3 linked regions of the Drosophila melanogaster genome follow. The protein of the gene in region 1 interacts with the protein of each later gene in a pairwise test. Each region holds a gene or a part of one and is shown on either strand. Other genes may lie near its edges.

Evidence for each region.
Region 2: the proteins of robl22E (region 1) and Idgf4 interact in a two-hybrid assay, tested with the Drosophila melanogaster proteins (one large-scale study listed by BioGRID).
Region 3: the proteins of robl22E (region 1) and CG4198 interact in a two-hybrid assay, tested with the Drosophila melanogaster proteins (one large-scale study listed by BioGRID).

Annotation. Positions count from the first base shown.
Region 1 is NT_033779.5:2,289,028-2,293,349, reverse strand, and holds robl22E (robl22E), read left to right. Parts: upstream 1-2,611; 5' UTR 2,612-2,646; intron 2,647-2,651; exon of another isoform or gene 2,652-2,707; 5' UTR 2,708-2,727; coding exon 2,728-3,021; 3' UTR 3,022-3,126; downstream 3,127-4,322. Other genes in the region: CG17237 (uncharacterized protein), read left to right, coding at 4,143-4,322.
Region 2 is NC_004354.4:9,926,471-9,933,367, reverse strand, and holds Idgf4 (imaginal disc growth factor 4), read left to right. Parts: upstream 1-2,419; 5' UTR 2,420-2,460; exon of another isoform or gene 2,461-2,487; intron 2,488-2,893; 5' UTR 2,894-2,895; coding exon 2,896-3,013; intron 3,014-3,635; coding exon 3,636-4,196; intron 4,197-4,310; coding exon 4,311-4,960; 3' UTR 4,961-5,395; downstream 5,396-6,897. UniProt on the Drosophila melanogaster protein: Cooperates with insulin-like peptides to stimulate the proliferation, polarization and motility of imaginal disk cells.
Region 3 is NC_004354.4:5,310,842-5,316,692, reverse strand, and holds CG4198 (uncharacterized protein), read right to left. Parts: upstream 3,436-5,851; 5' UTR 3,261-3,435; coding exon 2,548-3,260; intron 2,482-2,547; coding exon 1,761-2,481; 3' UTR 1,503-1,760; downstream 1-1,502. Other genes in the region: CG15930 (uncharacterized protein), read left to right, coding at 1-417, 507-592, 659-1,235; dhd (deadhead), read right to left, coding at 3,910-4,233; TrxT (thioredoxin T), read left to right, coding at 4,982-5,455.

The DNA.
Region 1 (4,322 bases):
AGACAGGCAGACACGCAGGCACTGAGGTCCTCGAACGCAGCGGGGTATCCTGTTTGAGCATTTATCCTGCCCAGAGGCTCCTTTCTGCAGGCCCACGCTGTAATATTTAATTTAAAATTGTAACCCCCGGGAATTTTGCTTATGACTTTGCGAACGCAAGCGAGCGTCAAATGAAAAAGTGTCACACTTAACCAGATCCTCGGTATCGAAGTGCTTTGTTCAAGGACCTCAAGTTGCCCCAAATTGAGATTGCATTGCAGTCGGGGGCAGGCAGCGATTTTGGTGGATTTGTGCCGAGTTCCTTTCCTTCTGGCACTTTAGGTGCGATTGAGGCTATATTTGGGTACCGAGACATACAGGGAGTTTGGCGGACTATCATACCATCGAAATTAGTCACAAAATTAGTCAAATGATGTTTTAAAGTTGGCTAAATTGGTATACAAGATGAATACTGGGGTGCAGAAATATACAATAATTTATTTACAATCACAAAGCCCCATGGCTCTATCACGAATATTAATTTTTATTCAACAAGGGTTAATTTAGCGATTTCTTCCACCAGCAGACATGATTATTGTGCCCTTTAAAGCGGCTTTGCAGTCGAGCCCTTTCCGCCGTCACACACGGCAATTAATTAAAATTCAATTAAGAACAAAGCTGACACGTGCGCAGCCACAGCCACATTGCTCAATCATAATTTAAATTTGGCCAGGACGAGATTATCCTGCATAGAGAGCAGGATACCGGAGGCCAGGACAATGTAATGTAATGGCTGCGTGTGCTCCTTGCTAATTGCAAATGAAATACGATTCTCATTAACTTGTCCTGGCTCGTAATTCACTTACTCGAATTTGCCACTTGAAATCGAAGGCCTCTGGATCGGTTGGCATGTTGGTCCTGTTCTGTTGATCTCATTATCACCTTGCGGCATTGTTGAAATATTTGCAAGAGTGTCCAAATACGGCCAACGATTCGTTGATTAACAAATTATGATTTATTAAACGGCCTTATGCAAATGCAACGAATGCAGGATGTGAGAGGTGACAAAGCGGAGGAAGTGCCAGATGAATGATAAACTGATAAAAAAAAAAATGAATTAATTGGCAATTAATTACGGATTCATTAAACGAGTCAAATATCATCGAAATAAAATGTATTTGCGCGCACACTTAAATCGCTCGAATGTCAGTGCCAAAGTATTTCTTTGGCAACATTTTAAAGCCGAGTGTCGGAAGGGCCGGGAAAATTTAATGTGATTTATGTCGGACCGAATTGTATGCATAAATAACGCACTCGAATTATTATTAAATGCGAAGGACAAACTTGTTTTCATAAATATCAAATTACGTACATTGCAGCATATTTTCCCATTAAACAAATACACCAATCGCCAACAGACTGGCCAAATTGCTTTGTCCGCCAAAAACATGTTTTTGTGTTCCACCTGACTTTGTAGCCACTGAAAAGCGAGTGTGTTTGCTGGTTGCATATTGCAGATTGCAAAAACATTTGTAAATGTTTCAGCTTTAGTTTGGTGAGCGAGAGTCAACAGCCAAACAGGATCAAGGACTCTGGTTCTGGCTGTGACTCCGAGTCCTGTTGGATTGGAGTTGGGATATTTGTGTTGCTTTTTTTTATGTTCGCCCACCGTGCAAAACTAACTATTTATTCAACAAATATGCAATAAAATGCATAGTCGGTCTTCACATTTTCCCGCCCATTTCCAGCCCCATTTAACGCAGTTAGAAGCGCATTTTCCGCATTTTCAATTCTCCGGCATTGCATGACAAATTGCATTTGAGGTTTTTCACATGGACATTGATTTAATTACCAAATGAATTTCCTTGCCGGCCAAAAGTCGAATAAGAAGTTTAATTTCCCCCAAGTCTGGCCAGCAATTTGCATATACACTGGCCAAATCCTTTTACGTATCTGTATGTCCGCCTGCCCTCTGCCCGTTTGAGTAATTTCATTATGAGTTTTAAGACTTTTAATTAATTTAAAAAGTGAACAATTTTGCACTCTTTTTCATAACAACTCCGGCCGGAGTCCGCATTGCATTCCGTAGTCCTCAGTAGTCCGGCTTTTGTCTGGCGTAGTCTGGACGAACCGGAAGAGTGGCATAATTTCCGCACCGCCTCGAACTTGATGCAAACATTTCATCTGCATCTGCATTTCGAGTGGTCCGGAGAGCAGGAGCCAGAACAGGAACAGAATCGGAATCGGAATCCGGATCAGGAGCCAAGGCAGGGGCACTGGCAGCATCAACAGCATTCAATTAATTTTCCGTACTTCTGCCATCCACAAAAGCGAAACTTTTGCAGTCCGACATCCGGCATTGTTGCCAACTTGAATGCTTATTTACGGACACAACAGCGCCAGAATCTCCCGGATTATGCCGAACATCATAAAACTTGTATCGACTCGTTAAACTGGCAAATGAAATGAACCCGACAGATGACAAAGCAGCCTCAATTATACGGATATCAAATGGAAATATGCAAAGTTAGTTGTAATATGGGGAATATTTCTTAGTATTAAACTATTGTGAACTATGCTAACGAGTAGTCTGATTAAATTTGAAAATATATTTAGTGAAGTGAGTGAGTTACTTCAAGTATGCCCGGAGCTTTCATTCATTTGCATGTATGGTTGTATTGTAGTAGCAGAACGAACACCTTCTTTGCATCGAAATTTCTCTAATAAGGTAATCGAATAGACGCAAGGATGTCCGCCGAAGTGGAGGAACTATTGAAGCGCTTTCAGTCCATGAAGAACGTCACCGGCATAGTTGTGGTGGACAACGACGGCATTCCGATCAAAACGACCCTGGACTACACTCTGACACTCCACTACGCGGCACTGATGCAAACGGTGCGGGAGAAGGCTCGCCAGGTGGTCCTGGATCTGGACGCCACCAACGAATTCACCTTCCTGCGGCTGCGGACTGAGCAGAATGAGGTGATGCTGTGCCCGCAGGAAGATTACTTCATCATGGTGATCCAGAGCCCGTGCGACTAGAGCACAATATTCCAGGCCCAAGCTCATTCCGCTGGCAATTATTTTCAGGCAGAGTGTTCAGTAAATGTTATTAAAATACTCGGCATAGTCTCGATTTCGCACACCAGCATTTCGTCATTAATAGCATTCAGTTGCAAATTATTTGCATTGGGAATCGCAATTGAATTGGAATGTCACTTGCGTGCGGAGCACTCTTATTCGATATGCATCCTTTGGCCCGCATGCATACATATACGATATGCATGGATCCTTTACCCCACGAAACCCGGCATCCTGTCCGGGCAAACTCATTTACAATAAATGAAGACTGACTGAGGCAGCCACGAAACAAATAAACTTTTTTGCGGCCTCGCCAGGATGCGAGCATGTAGGGATACGGATGCCACGGCCACCGAAGTGGAGGTTCCTCCTCTGGGCTTTGCTATTTTTCATTTAATTAAATATTTTACATGCAAAGTGCATTATGAGCAGTGGGCGAGGCAAAAACCAAGCAGATAACTTGGTAAAGTCACACGGGCGCCTCTCGGGAGGCCAGGACATCGATGCCAATCCATCTATCCACCGGTGCAGGACGAAACTATTCACTCGAGATAACTTCATGAACAGTTGTGGCAGGATATAGAGCACTACTGTCGCAGCCATCAATTCGAGACACCGCAAAAGGGGGGCAGAAAAGTGGATAAGTTATTTTTCACCTCGATCCTAGAGCCTTAACTTCATTAGCCTAATGACTAAATGCACTTTACCATGATCTACATCGATGTAGCTATTTTCTGCAGCTGCTTTTCCTGTTTCCTTACTGTTAGAGATGTTAATTGATTTTTTTTATAAACCTGTTCTTATTTATAGTTGTATTACCTTGGATTGGATCCTAGGATCATGTTTTCTTTATAAAATTTCCTTTTGACAATTGTAAATTAAATCCGAATCAAGCCAGTCGTCTTTCACCTGTCAGCATGTCCGGCGTAATCATATTTCTGTGTCTTCCAATCATTGTTTTCCATTTTCCCGAAAGCATGTGTGTCACTTAACAGCAAACATAACATAGATTGTTGGCTGCACACGTCCATCCCGAAATCCGTAATCCATAAACCGTGAACGTTACTCGTACAACCGATCCAATGATGTCCAGGAAAGGCAATCAACTCCACCCGTCATCAATCCGTCCATCATCGACCACACCGGACTGCAATCAGAAGCGGCGAGGCGACATGACAGCTCCTCCTCCGAACCCAAAGCCAGAGAAAAGCCGCATCATGGAGATGCATGCGATTTTTCTGGGGCACGACACTCGCGGCGAC
Region 2 (6,897 bases), on another chromosome or scaffold:
TTTTATTTGCGGTATTTGCAGAAGGCAGTATTTTTGTTACTTAATTATTGTTTGTTTGACCTGGCCTGCCCCTCGCCCCTCGCCCCTCCATGGCCATGGAGCACTTGATTAAGGTGGGTTTAATTACAATTTCAAATATGTGCACCAAATACTGGGATATTCGCACGCACACACACACACACCTCTGCACTTTGTTTGCGAATTTGCGTGGCAAATAAATTGGTTTCTATATATGTCCTGGTTTTTACATACCCGCTGCCTAAGGATAAGTACACAATGCCGCAGTTCGGACAATTAATTGGTTTATTTACGCATTGTCTTGCTTTTTGCTAGAACATTTAAATGTGCAATAGCACAACGAACTGTTCGGCATTAAATGCAATTTTTGGCAATTAAAGCGAAACGATTTATTTCAAGGGTAAAATAAAATGTGCAAATTGTTGGTCCTGGATGTGGCCAGGAAAAGGGTATGCACTATTCGAGCATTGCATTCGTTAAACTAAATGCTTTTCGATTTCATATTTTCTGACAAATTCCGATGCAAAAATGCAGCATACTCTCGGGCCAGCAATGTAAATTGAGTAAATTAAATATATCAGATGAAACATTCCCCGGGGATCGGATCCCAATCGTGAACTGAAGTGCCCTTGATGGGTGTAAAAGCGATGCGGAAAAATAAAAAGCAAAGTCGTTGAGTAACCACCAATGCCATAAAACCGATCCCATCGCCGTTGACATTCAGTGAGCCACTCAACCCATTAGCAGGCCCAACCCAAAATGCCAAGCCCCAAAAAGCAGTCGAAATCCCCCCGAGCAAATAAATCCCTTGAACATAAAACGCCGGGAGATGGGGTAGCAAATTAAAACTAAATATGAGACTAGAGACGGACCCAAATCGGGCCCGTCCATCATCTAATGTATACGTATCTGTATCTGTGCTTGTATCTGTATCTGTGTGTGTTTGACCTCTCTGGCCGCTGACATAAATTGATAAAGTCGGCCGATTGGCGAGGCGATGCCATGAGTAAACATTTGAGAACCGAGCCGAACTAAAACATTCAAATCGAAATCAAAATCAAAATCGAAAATGAAAACGAAAACGAAAACGAAAACGGAGGCGACAATGCAGCCAGTGTTTATTTATTAAAATCAATTTTTACACAAATTAATAGAGCAGGCGGCGAAGTCGTGGAAGTTGAGTTTACTTTGTCAATTTGCGATTTATATGCGCTGTACGATATTTTATTTCGCTTTTCGGCAACTTATCCTCCATCGAAAATTCAAAAATAAACAAATAAAGCAGCTGTCGCTTTAATGGGGATATATCTACCTACACACACACACACACACACATACAGTGAATATAGCTTAATAATGCCCGACGCGTTGGCCTGATTGTATAATTGCTCGAGCGATTCCCGGTAACGATGACATCACGACGTTGGTGTGGTAGGGGGGAGGGGGGAGGGCGGCGCTTAAAACAGGCTCTGGCAGAGAAAAAACCGAATTACAAAAAAAGCTGATAGCAAAAATTCATTACAACAATGACAGACACTTAATCACTTAATAGAGAAAATCAAAAACGAGAGCAGATCAACCAGGCTTTGTGGCGCTGGTGAAATTTTTGCGGCTAAGCTAGATTTAATTACGGATTTCAAACGGAGATAACGAGCTATTCAAACGAACGGCCTATAAAGTATAGTTTAAGGCTAATCAAATGTATTACAACTAATTTAATTAGTCTATCTACACTTTGGCATTGATCCCTAGCAGATATTTACAATTTATTGAGACTGATTAGGCTTTATAGATAAATATATAAAGAAGTTAATAGCTATATCCATTAGAGTAAGCTTCGAATATTAATCACTTCATTAAAACTGTATTTTAAGTTTTTTCTTATTACGTTTTTTTTTTACTCACACTAAAAAATCTCAACCACTTTAAATGCAATTAATGACAAATCTGTAAAAAGTGATTAACTGGAGAGCTAAGAACACAATATTTCAACCCAAATTGGTGAAGGTTATTTGCTCTGCGATGATTAAAGTTTTCAAAGCTCTCGAAATCAATTGATATTCTTCCATCATCCAGATCATTATCGTTTATCAATATGCGTACTTATGAGTCGCCCCTCGTTTCGCAGCTTGGCTTCGCTTGTTTTTGTTTTTCCACACACATTTCTAATTTTTTTGTTTTTGTTTGCCAAAGTTCTCTATCTCCATCTCTATACCCCTCTGTTCTGTTTGCTCCGATCTTATGTATTTCCAAGCCGAGTTTTATTCTCGCTGCGTTCGCTTTGCCCTCGCTCTTCTTCGCTCCCGCCGCCGCAGCTTCAGCGGTCTCTCGCTCTTCCCTCTTCGTCTTGCCCGGTTTCGTATTCTCAACGAGTTCACTTAAAGTTTGGATCACCTCCGCCGGCGAACAGTTTCAGTTTTACCTTTAATGCGAGCACAACAAGTCAGTGGAGAGTCATTCTAATATTCCGTTGGTTTTTTTTTTTCTGTGATCTGAGTTCTTTGCGCCGTGTGATAATTTATATAGTTTTTATGGCCAGGAACTGGAACTATAACTTCTTTGATATACACGTATAATAATCCGAGATTTGGGCTTCTTAGAATTCCATTTTGTTTGATTCTCTAATGATGTATTTATTTTATATGGTTCAGCTTCTTCTTCATAATTCTTATCTATTAATAGTCTTCTAAGAATATAACGTGCCTAGTTTTTTGAATTCAGAATCACAGAATGTTAAAATAAGTCATTTTTCCATAATAATCAGGCATACAAAATAACCTAAAATCTTAAAATCTCACACATAATGTGGGTTTACTCTGGAACTTTCCAACAGTTAACAGTTTCAATATAAATACATATATTTTCCTATTCACAGCTATGAAGCTCTACGCCCTGTTCTCCCTTCTGGTGGGATCTTTGGCCATTGGTCAGATTTCCGCCGCCGGATCTCATCATCTACTTTGTTACTATGACGGCAACAGTTTTGTCCGCGAGGGTAAGTCCCACTTCTAGTTCGTTCTTGGCTATATAGTTGATAAGAATCGGGGTTATCGGTGGAAGGAAAATGTACATATATTACCCGTACGTATGTACATATACATATGTGTATTTTGAAACCAAGAGATAGAGAGCTGCGCGGACTCAATTCAATTAGATGATTTTCACTTTTCATAGACACATGCTAAAAGCATAAAGCGGTGTACTTTTTTGCGATTCTGATAATTGGCAACGGGTCACAAGATCAGAGGGGAATGTTTTGCAACCAATTTGAGTAAATTGCATATAGAGAGGAAAGCCCACACAAAACGCCAGACTTGAACTAATTGAAATTGGCATCGGGTGTTCGACGATGATGATTCATGACCAGAGGTGCCACCTCCAAGGCGCTAATTGATGATGCAAACCGAGCTTATTTTAGTACACTCGAATTTTCAGCTGCCAGTGGAAGATTCACTGAATATAAAGTGTTGGCAATATTAAACACATGCTTTTTCGGGGACAACAATCAAATTTATTGATTAACTCAACGCTTCCTGTTAACAAAGCATTAGTATAATAAGCTTTTACATTCATGAATATATTTCACAATTTCCTTATTCTAAAATGAACATCAACAGGCCTCTCCAAGCTGATCCTAACCGATCTGGAGCCCGCCCTGCAGTACTGCACCCATCTGGTCTACGGATATGCCGGCATTAATCCCTCGAGCAACAAGCTGGTCAGCAACAATGAGAAATTGGACCTGGATCTGGGCAGCAGCCTGTTCCGCCAGGTGACCGGATTGAAGCGCAAGTACCCAGCCCTCAAGGTCCTGCTTAGCGTGGGTGGCGACAAGGACACCGTGGATCCAGAGAACAACAAGTATCTGACCCTGCTGGAGAGCAGCAATGCCAGGATTCCGTTCATCAACAGTGCTCACTCGCTGGTGAAGACCTACGGTTTCGATGGCCTCGATCTCGGCTGGCAGTTCCCCAAGAATAAGCCAAAGAAGGTGCACGGCAGCATTGGCAAGTTCTGGAAGGGATTCAAGAAGATCTTCAGCGGTGATCATGTCGTCGACGAGAAGGCCGAGGAGCACAAGGAGGCCTTCACCGCCCTGGTTCGCGAACTGAAGAACGCCTTCCGTCCCGATGGCTACATCCTGGGTCTCAGTGTCCTGCCCAATGTGAACTCTTCGCGTGAGTTAACATAAATAATTTCGATTGTATTAGATTTCATTTAGTATGTTTTGTTCGAAAGATTGCCCAGCATATTTATTATATATTCAATATGTTTTTGTTTATCTGGTTTAGTGTTCTTCGATGTGCCCGCTATTATCAATAACTTGGACTACGTGAACCTGCACACCTACGACTTCCAGACCCCCGAGCGCAACAACGAGGTGGCCGACTTCCCGGCACCGATCTACGAGCTGAACGAGCGCAATCCGGAGTTCAATGTCAACTACCAGGTGAAATACTGGACCGGAAACCGTGCTCCGGCCGCTAAGATTAACGTGGGCATTGCCACCTATGGACGTGCCTGGAAATTGACCAAGGATTCGGGACTGACTGGACTTCCACCGGTTGCCGAGGCTGATGGTGTGGCTCCTGCCGGAACCCAGACCCAGATACCCGGACTTCTTAGCTGGCCAGAGGTGTGCGCCAAGCTCCCAAATCCCGCCAATCAGCATCTGAAGGGCGCCGATGGTCCGCTGCGAAAGGTTGGTGATCCGACCAAGCGCTTTGGAAGCTATGCCTACCGCTCCGCCGACGACAGCGGTGAAAACGGAGTCTGGGTGGGCTACGAGGATCCCGATACGGCGGCCATCAAGGCGGAGTATGTTAAGCGCGAGGGTCTCGGCGGCATTGCTGTTGTCGATCTGAGCTTCGATGACTTCCGCGGCGGCTGCACTGGCCACGACAAGTTCCCCATCCTGCGCCAGGTTAAGAGCAAGTTGTAGAGCTCCTCATCCTTCTGATTCTTTTCCCGAACGAAAGAACAACGTGTTTTTATTTGCCCCACTGTTTTTTTTATATGTAATTGACTCAACGCAAACCTGTGTAAACGCGAAATGCAAATTAAATTAATATAACATTGACACCAAAAAAACTTGTCTCTTACTTGTTTCTGAATTTTTGTAGCTTACATATATTTATATAACCAGCCAGCCGAATAACGGGTATCTGATAGTCGATGAACTCGATTTTAGTGTTCCCTCTTGTTTATAATTTGAGTTTCCCACACTTTTCCACATCTGCTTTAAGCCACTCGCTTTAGCTAATTATTTATGCTAATTGTACTCAATTGAATTACATAACATCATTATATAAAGCTATTAACCCATTATGAACCTTTATAAAGTTTACTATCGTCAAATAAATTATGTTAATATGACATCAATCGTGTTGCCGTGCCTTTTATGCCAATTGTTATCGGCCAATTAATTATGTTGATTTTAGTGCACTTTTCGCACTCGCATCGCATTACAGTGAGCACTCGCTGTGCGTGAACCGATGCTCATTGCACATTAACTGTAATTGAGTGCAACAACTTCCAATTACTTTCCCCCGACGGCAAATAAACTGATTAGAAGGCCGGCAAATGAACGCACTCATGTATGCATTGTGCCGCCGCATTGTCCCCGCCTCTGTCCATGTGAAAGAAGTATCCTTCTGCTCCCCCTCTCGTGGTCCTTGTCCTCGTCCCAGCTCTTTTCAATAGCCTAGTGTGGGGCTCCTTTTATGATTCGGACTTTTGTGCCTGGTTCCTTGTGCTGCTGTGACTTCATTTTGCTGCTCCTTCCGGCATTTCGTGTCAGCCTGTGGTCGCCGGCTGATTGTTTTATGTGCGGTGTTTGTGCCCGCTCTGCACGACCCATCAAGCCCTCGGACCACCCACTGCACCACCCACTCACTCTAACGGAAACGGAGCAAAAATCCCCTCCTGCTCCAGCGACTGCCTTCTGAACACAGCAACGGCTTCAACTGCAGTCGTGTAGCAACAGTTTCCATTGCATTGTGGCCAATGGCTCATTCATCTTTGGGCGGTGGTCATGCTGTGACCACTTGAACCATTGCCGCTGACACCCACCAAAAATGGGTGGATGGACTGGGTGTTTGGGTGGTTGGGTGGTTGGGCGTTGCTGCCATGTTGCCTTCGCCTGGATCACTTTATCATTTGCAAAATTGCAAAATGCAACCGCAAAAACCATAACCCGGCGCAGGCAAAGTATATTTTAGAGCCCCAGACTCCAGGACCGAGCATCACGCATACGCACTGTCTGCTCACCGGCCCAACCAGGAAGTGCCACTCCCCCATCCTTATCCGCAGCCCGCCCCCCGAATTCGAGCCAACACTGGGATGCCGTTGATTTAGTTCTCGGTTGCTGAAAAGCGCATTGGATTTTCGGAAAACCGGTGAACACTGAGAGAAAAGTAAAGGAATAAGTGATAACAAGAATAGATGTTAAGTTGCCCACTTGATGAAATGGAGTGAAATAGTTTTGATACAAAAAATGTCGAATTATGAAACCCTATAAACTAACAAGTTCATTTTAAAAATCGGTGGCTATACATATGCTCAGTTCAGCAGCTTGAAAATGCTATTATGGACACCAGGTTCCTGATAAGATTACATATTATTACAAGCTGTAAAAGCAGCTGGTTTTTCTTTCAGTGCACATCCTGCCTGCTGTTTGGGCATATCACTGGCAGCATAAATCTCGTGTCGGCACTGAGCAAGTGGCTCCTGGTTTGGGGTCTGGCACTGATCCTGCTGCTCATGTTGCCATGTTCTGCAGTGACCAAAGCCCCGCACCTCCTTTGTCCTATTCCGCTCCCTTTTTAACCACCACCCCCCCCCCCTTTCAACCCCTTTAACCCCCTCTCACCACCATTC
Region 3 (5,851 bases), on another chromosome or scaffold:
GCCGATGTCCAGGTGAATGGAAAGCCATTGGAGCAGTTGTTAGCCACCGTGTCGGAGCGCCAGGCAATGAACAATCCTGGCCCAATGAAGATGCATGAACTGCACACCGGCAATGCTGACTTCATGAATAGCAATAGCCAAGTGGCAGAAGCTGCTGCGTCAGTGGAAACACTGCTAGCGTCGACATCGGACAACGATAGCGACAGCGATGGACTCGAATCAAAAACGACGGATGGTTACATTGTCAAGGAACTGATACCGTCGTTTTCCGATTTCCCGGATATCGGTGATGTTAGTTTGTGTGCACTGATGTATGGACTGCCCATGGATGCCGTTGGCATGCACTGGAAGCTGCCGCCGCAGCGTATCCAGGATATCTGCAAGGAGGACTCTATCTTCCCGATCATCATGAGCTGTGTGAGTGCGCTTTGGTCCCGTGCCAAGCAAAGAGACAGCTTTGAAATAGGAGTTCAATCTTTTTTTTTTTGTTTTTTTTTCTTGCGCAGGTGTTCTCTCCGTGTGAGTTCTGGTTCCACATTGTGCCACCGCAGTACGCCAAGAATCCTGTAGCCGAGATGACCATTGATCTAAAGTAAGCTACTAACTAAATCGATTGATTGACTGATTGATTGATAATATTGTTATTTAATGCCCATAGCTGGTTCTATCGCCATACGACGATCAGCAGCTACCGTGCCGAGTTGCCTAGCTATTTCTATAAAGAGGGCTACATATGCGCCGCCTACAGCGAGTGTGGCTGGCGACGTGCCATGGTGCTCGTCACCGCACCGTTGGACGCCCAATGTGTGAACATAGAGTATGTGGATCATGCCCTGTCTGTCACATTGGCACCGAACCATCTACGATTCCTCCCACTAAGCTTTGCGCGCACACCGCCATTGGTATTTCGCGGCAAAATGTCGCACGTACGCCCATTGGCCAATGGGTGGCCAAAAAATGGTATCACCGCATTCCAGCGCATGACATTCAATAGGGTATTGTATGCCCATGTCGGCGAACTGGATACCGCTCAGGGTATATTCTCTATGCGGCTATCGTATGATGAAACTTTTGTGCCCACCATCAACGATCTAATCGAGTCGCGGATCAAGTTGGAGTCCTGTTGCTATGCGCCCGAACTGCAGCCTTTTGGGATGGTCGAGCCGCTAATTATGCCGCTGCACGATTATGATGATGATGATGATGATGATGATGATTTCGCATTCGTTCCATAGGGATTACCATGTGCCCAAGGCGCTGAATCCATTTCAAAATAAAAATGAATGACGCACTTCTAGTGGGCAACCAGGAGCAGAAGCAGAAGCAGGAGCAGGAATGATGAAAACAGGACAAAACCAGACGACGGAACATACATAAATCATCAAGCTGGCATGTTTGCCAATCATTTATCTCAGGGATGAACTGCATCATTTGAAAAGTGTAACTTGAACATGAAATTGCTGTTTGTTTTTTTTTTTCTTTTTTTTTTTTTATTATTATTTGTGAAATGTAATACCATACCCATAATTTTATTACCAAATAAAGATGCGAAAAGGTTGCCAGCCAAGTGCACGTGCACAACTTCTGGACAGGATGGGCCGGGAATTCTAAGCCAAAACTAGCGTAGCATGCCAAATAAGTGAACTTTGCAGGCGCTGCAGACTTGCCTGGTTGGTTGGTTGGATGGTTTGGATTTCCATACCGAATTGCAGTAAAAAAAATAGATGTGTGCTGCAGTGCGTCTGCCGCTCGTCGGCTGGCTAGAAGGGCTCCTCCTGCGCCTGTGTGGCAGCATCACTCGGCTGCTCGGCGAACATGCGCTGTCGACGGCACACAGTTGGCGTTGGCATATCGTCCGCATTGCTAATGGAATCGCAATCGTAGTGACTGGGCACCTCGGGTGGCGGAGCATCGGCATAGTCGGTTGGGATGTCGGAAGCGGCGCCGAACCACGACAGCATCATTGAGACCTCATGCCACCTACTCGAATTGGACTGCGAATCCAGCTGCAGTTCATCGTTTAGCGGCGGCGGCACCGTTCCACTTGGCTGATGCGATCCAATGGTGGACGATTGGGCGCCACCAACAACCCGAACCCAATTGCTGCCGCTGGCCAGCGGAGATAGGTGCGTCTTTCGATACGAATCAATGGAGCTTTTGACTCGACGCATATCCAGCGGTGATGTGGCTGCCAATGTGGATCTTTCCTTGTTCAGCGTCACCAGGCAGGACTGCCGCTCCGGCTCCTCATCCGCGTCGCCATCACGCCGATGGCGTGTGTATTCCAGCTCCTCCTCACCATCCAGATCCTCGTCCATCGATTGCGCCAGACAGTCGTTCGAATGGAAGCTTTGCTCCGAGTACGACTGCCCCTCGCATTCCATCTGCAAATGATCGCCCTGCTCCGTCGATCGCTCACTGGTCACCGCCAGCAGTTCCTGCTGTTGTTGGCAATTGTCCGTGTATTCATGCCTGGGCCTGCTGGCCAAAACAAAAAAACAAACAAAGGTGAACATAACCCCACAATTCTCTAGAAGATTTACATACCTTGTGACCGGCTGCTGCGCTATGGACACCTGGTAGGAATTGGATGACGGTGCCGCCGGTGATGCTACTGTCGCCGCCAACGCTTGCTGCTGTTCATGTCTGCGCTGGCGTTGGATGAGCATGCGTTGGATATTCTGTCGCGACTGATCGTTGCCATAGGAGATGCGCTTGGCGGCCAAGTCGCGACGCTCCACGGCCGCCCGGCGTGCATCGTTCGCCGCCTGCAGCTTGGCCGTCATCCGGAGTTCGCTGCGCAGGAAACCGCCGGTGCCGGCCTCGGCCATTAGGCCATTCCGACGCGAGATCTCCTGGCCCAGTTGGCGTGCGCGTGCCAGCGTCTCTATGCGCTGTTTGTGCATCCGCTGCTGGGGCGTGCTGCTAGCCAGCGTGATAGCACCGTGTGCCTGTTGCCGTCTCCGGCGGGTAACGCGTCCGCCGGCTAAACCAAACGATTGGTCAACATTCGATGGCGATGATGCCGTCGATGTGCCGCCACCGCTGGCGCCACCGGCCGCCCCGCCAGCCACCTTAATTACCTCGATCTCGCGAAATAGCCGCTTTAATCGCACCTGTCGCATCTTCATTTCGATGGTGCGATCGTTGAACTCCTGGATGCGCTCGTACTCATCACGCAGACGCTGCAGTTGGCCATTCTTCTTGCTCTCGTTGAACATGCGACGAAAGTAGGGCGTCGATTTGATCTGATACGACATGATGGTGTGGTTTCTACTCTACCACGGATTATGGATTGGATTTACACGAAATTTGATTTTTATTTACTAACGAAATCCGTACAATTTGGATGCGACCGAAATGTGCGTTTTGGATTTGATTGAATTTGTGCTGCGGAATGTTTGGGATTTTTTGTTTTTCGTGTGTGTGATCTCAAGTTTGGTTAGCAAATGCCAAATGTTGCTGGAACCCGAAATGACATGACCACGCAGCGCCTACTTGGTTAACAATCCAAATGCTGTGGGCAAAAAAAAAACAAAGCTGATTCCATGTTAACATTTAAATGTCCAGAGTGGTTACAATAATTTATTGATCGAATTGCTTCTTAGTGCCTGAATCTTAAAGCTAAATGGGCGGGATTATGTGTCGCAGACACGCCTCCGCGCCACAAATCATAGCATATAAGTAGTAGTAGTAGCATAGCATATATCATCTGGTCACTGCTGTTGGCTGCACTGCATCTCCTGCTACCCACATCTCGCGCTTACAAGCTAAACATCACATGAGCATACACATAACATCGAATACATAAACGAACACAAATGAGGCGAACATGTTTAAAAGATGAGTTAAATAAGTAAAAAAAAAAAGATGCGCTGCTGATTGCTAATTGCTGGGCAGGATTGCTGCTTACGCCTTCACCAGCTTGGCCATCATGTTGGTCAGCTTGTGCTCGTCGGCGCCGGCAAAGGAGGCCAAGCGTCGATTTTGGCGCAAAAAGACAAACGTTGGCATGCTGCGCACCTTGTAGCGCTCCGTCAGCTCCTCGAATTTGTCCACATCGATCTTGAGCACCACCGCCTTGCTGGAGTATTTTCTGGCCAGCGATTTGACGGTGCTCTCCATTTCCTTGCAGGGACCACACCATGTCGCATAGAAATCCAGCACGATTAGCTTGTCGTCGGCCGCCTCGATGCGCTTGTGATAGTCGTTCATGGTGCGTACGGATGCCATTTTTATGTCGCGAGGATTAGCAAAGTGTTTTTCTTCTTTTTTTTAAATTAAAGAACTTGACGTGATGGGGCTGTTGGCGCTTTCGCTGCAAATTGTGAACTGATTGAAATGGCGGCTGCGTAGGCGACTTTATAGGGGTCTCCAAGTGGCGGTGTGTAGAGTGGAATTCCCGCCAATTTGCATGCTGAATTCTCGCGTGGCCGCTAAACAAAATGGCGGCCCATGGAGAGTGCAAAATGGCGGGCGTGTTAGGGTTGCCAGGTCGTTGGGAAAGCCAACCGAGTGTGTTGGGGGGTGGGGAACATACTTATTCACCACGGCAGGTCTATCGATATCGATATGAATATTATTATCGTAATTATGGCAAAATAATGGCGTCACACGACATAGTACTAATATTTTCCTCGAGTGTTGCCATAGCCGTGGTAGGTTCGAAGCCAAACTCACCTCAACACACCGCGCCGCTGACATTTGAAAACACTTTTTTTTCAATCCAAGAAGGCCGCAAAATATTTGGCGAAAACTGTATAAAAGAACGCCTGCCGCCCTACAATTTTCATTTCGGGCTGATATCTCGGCGAGGGCAGAGCTCCATTAAAATTCAAAAGTAACAAAACAAATCAAGTGAATTTTACACCCAAAACAAGATTTTCTAACATTTTCCTTTTTTTTTTCTTTCTTCTCTTCCCATTTTTTTTTTTTTTTGTTTCGTTTCGATTTGCAATCCGTTTGGAATTTAGTTAAAGTCATGGTGTACCCAGTGCGGAACAAGGACGATCTTGACCAGCAGCTAATCCTCGCCGAGGACAAGCTGGTGGTAATTGATTTTTATGCAGACTGGTGCGGACCTTGCAAGATAATAGCACCCAAGCTGGACGAACTGGCGCAGCAGTACTCGGACCGTGTCGTCGTACTCAAGGTGAACGTGGACGAGAACGAGGACATTACGGTCGAATACAATGTGAATAGCATGCCCACTTTTGTGTTCATCAAGGGCGGCAATGTGCTGGAGCTCTTCGTTGGCTGCAATTCCGATAAGCTGGCCAAATTGATGGAGAAGCATGCCGGCGTTTATACCGATGAAGCGGCCGACGTTAAGGCCGTCCATATCGATGGCGAATGCATTGTCGATCTGACCGCCGAGTCCAGTGAAAGCGACAACGACAACAACAACGTTAATGAGGTGTCCGCCCACGACGAGAATGCCGTTCTGGAGCACTAGGCAAAAGTACCATTACACTCCGAACATAACGACAACATATGTATGTAAGTACGATTGCCGGAGTGCAAGCATTGTGGTCACATAACCGATTCCCTGCTCCTTCTCCTGCAGCTCATCATTCAACAGACGTAACGGAAGAAAGCAATAGATATATATATATATATATACATAGACACACACACACACACACACACACACTTATCGATGTATATATATATATATATATATATAATACACACACTTATCCCAGATTTATTATGCACACTCATAATACTCATCATTTGTGGTGCCTAAAGTATGATGATTGCATTACAATTGTAAGCCTGATGATGTTGTTACGGCGGAGGAGGACTACGTCGCTGAACGATTCTACATATAGCAAACATTTTGGGAATC